Cricetulus griseus: one gene and its partner. The protein of the gene in region 2 purifies or fractionates together with the protein of the main gene of each other region. This does not show direct contact. Links are inferred from orthologs where the notes say so. Each region holds a gene or a part of one and is shown on either strand. Other genes may lie near its edges.

Region 1 (4,212 bases), on a different chromosome or scaffold from region 2:
ATAGAGCCATTTCTATTACACAAACAAAGCTGAATCACTGCAGTCAGTCAAGTAGTGGTGGGTTTCCTGACTGCCTTCCTGCCTCTCCCGCTCTAGATCCCTCCTCATGCCAAATCACTGCAGTGCTTCCTATTGCATTCCCTTCTTTCTTTAAGAGTCTCAAAGGGACAGTCACCAAGTGGCTTGTCTACACTCCTATGTTCAATAACTAACAAGGCCAGACTTTAGTCAGAAACCCTCAGCACTCAAATCACAAGCATGATTTAAAGTTAACTTGCCATTTATTTGGAAGCTACAATCATGCAAGTTTCCAAATCCTTCCTAAAAATGACTCAGAAACAAAGCAAAAAGATTCCCTAATACCTTTCTATTGGGAGGAGGGGTCACATTCACACTAAGCCTAAATCCCCAGTCTTCAAATGTAATTTCATGTTTCCTCCCAAGGACACTAGATTCAGGGGACACTTCTTTCAGGGAGGCAGAGAGAGAACCCTCCATTACAACCAAACTCTCCTGGCTACAAACACTAAAATGAAGGCTGACCTTGAGCTACATTCATACTTTCCCCATCCCACCTCCTCCCACTCCCAACAGAAGCCAACAGCAACTCAAACCTGAAAGGCAAAATTCAGTTTAGTATCTTTCCTAAACTGGGGGTTTTGAAGCCTTCTGTTCTAAATTCCAAAGGCTGGAACAGTAATTTCTGACAAGACTCTAGGACTAGTTCTAGAAAAGCTGCAACAGAGCCAAACTGGAATTCAAGGAAAAGGGTCTGACCTAACTTTTGAAAAACAAGTGGCTTAAGTAATTTGGAAAAAATTAGGGGCAATAACACTTAATTCCAAACATGCATCCCATCCTAGCCCCCAACACTAAAATCACAAGGACCTATCTGCCTTAGTGCACATGCCTTTAATCAAAGCACTCAGGAGACTGATAGGTGGATCTCTGTGAGTTAGAGGCCAGCCTGGTCTACATACTAAGGTTTCAAGAAAGCCAGAGCGACAGAGTGAGACCCTATTCCTAAACAAACATAAATAAATCATGGTAAACATATATGTGATTTATCACTTTTAAAATACTACTTTGATAGATATTGCTTAACTGAAGTATCTAGGTACAAAATCAGAGAAAGGGAAGGCACAAAAAAAAACATAAATTGCCTACAACTGACTAAACACAAAAGATATTTCAATGAAATGGTGATAAGACTAAATTCAAATTAGCACGAGCTAAGGATAGAGCTTAGTGACAGAGAGCACTGTACAAGGGCTTGGGTTACATCACGGGGGTGAGGAAGTAGTGGGTGTCGAGTGAACAAAATAACTATTAAAATATGTACATAAAACCATTTGCTTAAAATAGATAAAACAGAGGTAGAGTGTATCTTAGTATATGAGCACTTGCTTTGCATGCATGCAACCCTGGGTTGGAACCCCAGCCACGCAACAATGAAGTCATAAAACAGGGGGAAAAAAAAAGAATTGTATTTCAAAATCCCCAAGCCTCAACCGAGTCCTCAAAATAGGTAAAGATCCCCAAGCCAAGCAACACGAATTTTCCAAACTTACGTCGTCAACCAAGGGAGTGTTACTAAACATTATTTAAATTAACTATTTTTCAACAGGTCTTTCCATGTGTCATAATGCTGAGTGCGAAGAGAAAAGTCATTTTTACAAACGGGTAGACTTGAGACACGGGTACTGTAAAAAGCCATCATTATTACAGGGTCCTGGCAAGCCTGGTCTCCTGTATTTAAGAATTCTATCCATCAGAACTCGGGCTTCTGAAGGTTGGGAAAAGAAAAAAGAAAAACCCACAGGAACTTTGGGATCCCCTGGGTGAGAACAAACGGAGCACGAGTGAGGCTCCACACATCCATGGGAGGAGGCGAGGCAGAGAAGCCCCCCAAAACCCTCAACTCCGAGGTGCGCCGGCCTGCGGGAAGGAATCCAATCGCAGCATCTCAGCTTGCCTCCACCCAAGGATGATCAATCTGCAGTGATTTCCACACACTCCACCCTCTCCAAAGACGACTCCCCACCAGCGGCCCAGAGAAGCCGTCCGCTCCTGAGGCTTCTCCTTTGTGAGGCTCCACAGCCGCCGCCCCACACTGGGCCTCCCGGGAAAAGCCACCGCCCCCACCCGCCATATTTCCCTGAAAAGGCGCCCGCGCTCCAGCTCCCTAAGATTCCGCCCTCCCCCGAGCGACCGCTGCTGCTTCGCACATCACCCCACCCGATTGTCCTCCGCATCCCGCCACGGTCCCGAAAGCTCCCGTGGGGATTGCGCGCCGGGAGACGGCACCCGCCACCTCCTCCCCCCTCCCCCGCCCGGGGACTCGCCCTCCCCCTTCAGCCGCCATTTTACAACCAACTCCTCCACCCTACTCCCCGGCCTGCTGGCGGGCGAGCGTCTGCAAGCTAAGGACACCGGAGGGGTCAAATTCCTGGGCCCGGAGACTCCCACCGCTTCGGGAGCCCGCAGGACATTTCCCGCTTCCCGACCCGCGTCCCGAGCCAGACTCGGGGACGATGCCGCCATTTTGTCTCCGGTTCCCGGCCTCTGTGGGCGGCGGCGGAGGGTCCGAGACTTCCAGCCCCCCGACACCCCTCCAACTCACCGTCGTATCGCTCGGCCTGCTCTGCCAGCTTCGCCTGGTACACCAGATCCTCCCGATCATCCATAGCGGCAGCGGCTCCGGCAGGGTCTGCGCGACGGATGGAAGCGGATAGCGTCTCCGACTCTCGGCTTCTCGCTCCGCGTCCGAGCAGTAAAAATGGCGGCGCTTCAATCCGGGACTTCCGCCTGCGCACGCGGACAACTGCTCAGCTCTATGGCAACCGCTCCCTGGCAACTGGCGCGGGGGGGCGGGTCCGGGAGTTCGGCGCCAGAAAAGGCTGGAACCAGCACGACTGACGCCCCTCCTCCGTCGGCTCAGCAGTAAGGCGGGAACTGCGACTGCGAAGAAGAACGGCCCAGGCGAGCGGGAGAGGCTGGAGGCCGAGACTGGGCTAAAGGAATGAGCCAGGATCCTGTTCGGTGGCCGCCGGCCGAGGACAGGCCTGCCTGCGGAAAGACCGAGCGAGCGAGAGGCTTGATGGGTTCTTGCAACTGCAGGCCTTCCTCACTGAGACCCACTCACTGTGCATTCCTGCACGTTTTTCTCATTCATGTGCCTTTTTCAGAGCCTTTTAACCTCTGTGTAAAGAACTGACAGGTGAACAAGGGAGGGCTCCAGTTTTTACGCGCCAACTTTTTTCTTGTTCACACACCGTAATCATGTTTTTCTTCCCTTCAGCCGTATTTTATCGCTTTGGCCCATCACAGATAGGACTTTTGTTTAAAGGCCCTGGTTTTAACGTGGTGTTGGTGCCACACTCCTTCAACCCCACCACTCCGGAGGCATTGGAAGGCAGATCTCTATGAGTTCTCGAAGCCAGCCTGGTCTGCACAGTTCCAGGACAGCCAAGGTTACACAGAGAAACCTTGCTTCTAAAAATCAAAAAAGAAACAAAAGTCTCTGGTTTTTTTTGTGTGTGTGGTGGTGCATACCTTTAATCTCAGCATTAAGGAGTCAGGAGGATCTCTGAGATTGGGACCAGCCTGCTCTACAAAGCGAATTTCAGGTCAGCCAGGGCTGCATTGTGAGACCTCCATCGGAAGGAAGGAAGGAAGGAAGGAAGGAAGGAAGGAAGGAAGGAAGGAAGGAAGGAAGGAAGGAAGGAAGGACAGACGGATGTGTGGTGTGTGTGTGTGTCTGTGTCTGTGTCTGTGTCTGGTTTTCCTGGGCATGCGTGGTTATATCCCACCCCTCCATACCAGCACTATAGTGGCTGAGGTTGAAGCAAGTTGGAATAAGATCAGCAACTTGAAGCCAATCCAGGCTATATAGGGAAATCCTGACTAAAGCGGAAAAGAAAGTGGCATGCCTAGTTTGGAGTTCAAGGTGCACCAGAGGTCGAGTAAGGACAAATTGACATTAATTAGCTAGAAACAAATAACCCTCAATCGGAATTGCTTCTCTTGCAATGGACATCATGTTCTGCTTCCCACTGGATTTTCAACGTCCTTTTTTTTAGATTTATTTATTTTACACACATGAGTGTTCTATCTGCATGTATGCCTGCATGACAGAAGAGGTCATCAGCCCCCCACTATACATAGTTTGAGTCACCATGTGATTGCTGGGAATTAAACTCAGGACCTCTG
Region 2 (3,510 bases):
CGAAACAGGTCTTAAGTGATCTTAGGTGGTCAGGACTATCTAAGACACCAAGGCCCTAAGCAACATGACCTTAGAGGTCAAGCCTCACCTTGGTTTCAGCCCCGATTTCCCTTCCAAAACCTTGTAGCAATATCCACAAGAAACGAGAGGTCTGAACTTGGGATCTAGACATGCCACCATCACCCCGCCACCTCTGTGGTTTACCAGCCTTTAACTTCCTACCTTTAGTTCTCGGGAAGCTACTTTGAATGCAAGGTCGGTGACACTGCCTGCAGCCCAGCGGGCTGCATTGGAGGAATGCAGCTCGTTCCAGATGGTGTCAGTATCTACCTGTGGGGGCCAGGGTCAGGGACTGCATCACCCTATGCTTTCCACAGGAGGCAGGGCCCCATGAGGCAGTACCCACCCCATGGCCAGGACCCCAGGGGCAGGGAGCTGGGCAGACAAAGCTGCCTCCCCAGTGCCCCACCGCCCAAAGGCAAGGCCTCCTGTGTCCCCCAGTCCCAGCAGGACTTCTTCCCAGCACCAGCTCGTATGTGGCCAGCACTCTGCCTCCCCAGTCAGGGGAGGGGGCATGGCGTTACCTGGGCGGGATTGGGGTTTGGGCCCGGAGGGGTTTTAAGCCCCAGCTGACTCTGCTCAGGCCCTGCAGGACGGTCGGAGCTGGAGGGGCCGTCTGCACCACTGTCTTCCACTCAGAGCCCCTAGCCCAGGCTGGGAGGCCCCCCAAACCCAGTCCCTGGGCCTCAAGGCTAGGGAGGGGCCGGGGGCCATGATGGGGAGATGGGAAGGGCGAGGCGGACCGAGAGAGGCGAGGAAGGCAGAAAGAGTCGCAAGAGGCTGGAGAAAGAGAGAAAGAAAGGACAGAGAGGGAGAGGAGGGAGGGGAAAACAGAAGCAACAATAGTTGGAAAAACCAGAAAGTGGCAAGAAATGGGGAGTTGTGAACAGGGCACTGACTGTCTCCCCAACAGCTCCCCCTCCCCCCCCGGCAGCTCCCACTGCCTCCATCTCATCTCCACACACCTTGCCTGGCACCTTTAGAGGCAGGAAGGGCCATGCCAGCAGTATCAAAGAGACCTCCGACAGGTGAGGGAGAGGCGGGCAAAGCTGGAGGGCTAGAAGGCTATGTCCTGGGTAGGGGCATTCTAAACCTCTAAGTACATGGGAGGTGCCCCACGGCCCCCACACTAGGCAGTCCAAGGTCTGGAGGTCAAGTAGGGTACACCTGGAGTGCCTGAAAGAGGCCCACTCCTGGACAGGCAGAGCTGCTAACTCCTGGGACACAATCTCAAGCCCCAATGTGACCCTGCCTTGGGCCTCACTCAACATCTACCAAACACCTAACTGTGAGGCACTGGGCTGCACACTCGTGGGACACTAATGGGACTGGGATACATCTATCACAAGGAGCTTCCAGCCAGCAGAAGAGCATAACGGGGAAGGCCCTGACAGAACCACAAGTCACAGGTGGCAGAGGGGCGGGAGTGGGCCAAGAGAACCGAAGGGAAGGCTGAAAGTCCTTAGTAATGCCCACTTGAGATCTCTGGGCATACTTACCCCAACCCCACCACAGGGTAGCATCACAAACATCCGCTGTGCCAGGAGTCCTGTGGAGAGAGGCCCGGTCACAAAAGTGAGGAACGCAGAAGCCCTAAGAAGAGTGTATGGAGGGAGAAACAATACAGGGAGATATGGAGATGGGCGGGGTGGAAGTGGGGCTGACGGGACACATGGACAACACCAGGGCAGCAAACTGGCGGGGGATATCCAGGAAGCTGTGCACAAGTGAGGCAAGAGCACAGAGGTGGGTGAGATGGGTGAGCTTAGGGTGATTCGGGGCCAGACATCATATGGGTCCCTCCCCTACCTGTCAGCTTCCCATTATCCAGTTTGAGGCGGCTGAGGGGGTTGGTGCCGTAGAGGAGTACATGCCTTTCAGAGTGGACTGATTGCAGCTCCTCTAGGGAGGCCTTTCGGCCTCGGAGACACTGAGAGAGGGCCCACAGAGCTCCTGAGGTTTGCTCACCCCTGACCTTCTGCTACCACCAGACCACCCATTGTCTCATCCCTTACTGACCCCAAAGCCTCTCGTCCCTTCCCTTGCACAGCCCCACTGCCTTGCCTCACCTCACACCGGCTTCGGAGACCTCGCTCCTGCAGCCGGGACCAGATGCTCTGGATGCGGCCTGCATGCTCGGGGTGCTTGCTGTTGTCTCCACAGGAGCACTGGTGCTTCAGCATCACCGAGTCATAGACCAGCCCTGCAAGAAACAGCCATCCGTCAGGGCTGGAACTCGTAGTGGAGGGGCCTCCACCATGGCTGCAGATGGAGAGCAGCCCATGCCCAGAGAGCTAGGCATATACACATCCCTTGCTGCTACACATGTCTGTGTTCCCTTCCCAGGCCTTCTGTGAAGAGCTAGCCCTGTCTCTCTGTGCACATGCCTAAATGCCTCAGACAACCTGATGTACACACCAGTGCCAGCCTGCCTTGCTCTGCATGACCCTTGATTTCTTGGTATTCGTACTCCCTATAAGGCTCAACCTATCTCCTATGCCCTTTAGAGTTCATGTCCTAAACCCAGAGAGACTTAACACAGGGCATCTCCCTCTCAGTGTCACAAACTCACAGAGGGTTTGTGTCCCAACACAGAGAAGAAAGACAATTGGAGGGAAACCTCAAGACTGGGAGAGAGGATACCCACAATGTTACAGGCCATGTGGTTAGTCTCCCAACTGCACATGGAAAACACTCAGAAAGCTAGTTTACCTTGTAAACATTATGCAAATAACACAAAACTATTTACATAGCATCTACGTTGTACTAGGTATTAAAAGCAAAGTAGAAGTGATTTCAATGTGGAAAGATATGCGTAGGTTACATGCAAATACTATGCTGTTTTACATGAAGAACTTGAGCTTCTGTGGTTTCAGTGTCTTTATAAACTGGGCAGGGGTCCTAGAATCAACTCTCTGAGGGACTGAGGGCTTTCAGCCTAGCCCAAGGGAGGTCTCCAGAAACAGGCCCTGTATATGCACACTGCTAGTGGGAGGGCTGGGGGCTTGCACATCTCAGGGTACCAAGGACTTTCAAAATGCTCACACTCCTTGACCCAGGAATGCTACTCCTTAAGTGTGACCCTAGAGAAATAATCCCAGACAGAAGACAGGACTGAAACATAAGAAAATTAAAGGTCAGGCATCGGTGGCGCATGCCTTTAATCCCAGCACTTGGGAGGCAGAGGTGGGTGGATCTTGTGAGTTCCAGGCCAGCCAGGACTTCATAGTGAGAGTCTATCTCAAAAACTAACAAACAAAAGCAAATTAAAACTAAAGCTGGACTGTGGTGGCGCATGCCTTTGATCACACCACTCAGGAGCCAGAGGAAAGCAGACCTCTGTGAGTTCAAGGCCAGTCTGGTCTACAGAACGTATTCCAGGATAGCCAGGTCTACACAGGGAAACCCAGTCTCAAAAAACAAAACAACAAAAATGAAAAAGCGGCCAGG

What was found. Proteins that work in one complex are often made in the same cells at the same time.
Region 1: the proteins of Hdac7 (region 2) and 14-3-3 protein epsilon purify together in Homo sapiens (affinity purification with mass spectrometry; 4 studies listed by BioGRID and IntAct, with this or other methods). This does not show direct contact. The link is inferred for Cricetulus griseus from reciprocal best matches to the Homo sapiens genes HDAC7 and YWHAE.

The regions. Positions count from the first base shown.
Region 1 is NC_048600.1:89,184,017-89,188,228, reverse strand, and holds the start of 14-3-3 protein epsilon, read right to left. Parts: upstream 2,802-4,212; 5' UTR 2,688-2,801; coding exon 2,624-2,687; intron 1-2,623. UniProt on the Homo sapiens protein: Adapter protein implicated in the regulation of a large spectrum of both general and specialized signaling pathways. Binds to a large number of partners, usually by recognition of a phosphoserine or phosphothreonine motif.
Region 2 is NC_048595.1:394,300,572-394,304,081, forward strand, and holds part of Hdac7 (histone deacetylase 7), read right to left. Parts: intron 2,264-3,510; coding exon 2,130-2,263; intron 1,991-2,129; coding exon 1,870-1,990; intron 1,610-1,869; coding exon 1,560-1,609; intron 331-1,559; coding exon 223-330; intron 1-222. UniProt on the Homo sapiens protein: Responsible for the deacetylation of lysine residues on the N-terminal part of the core histones (H2A, H2B, H3 and H4).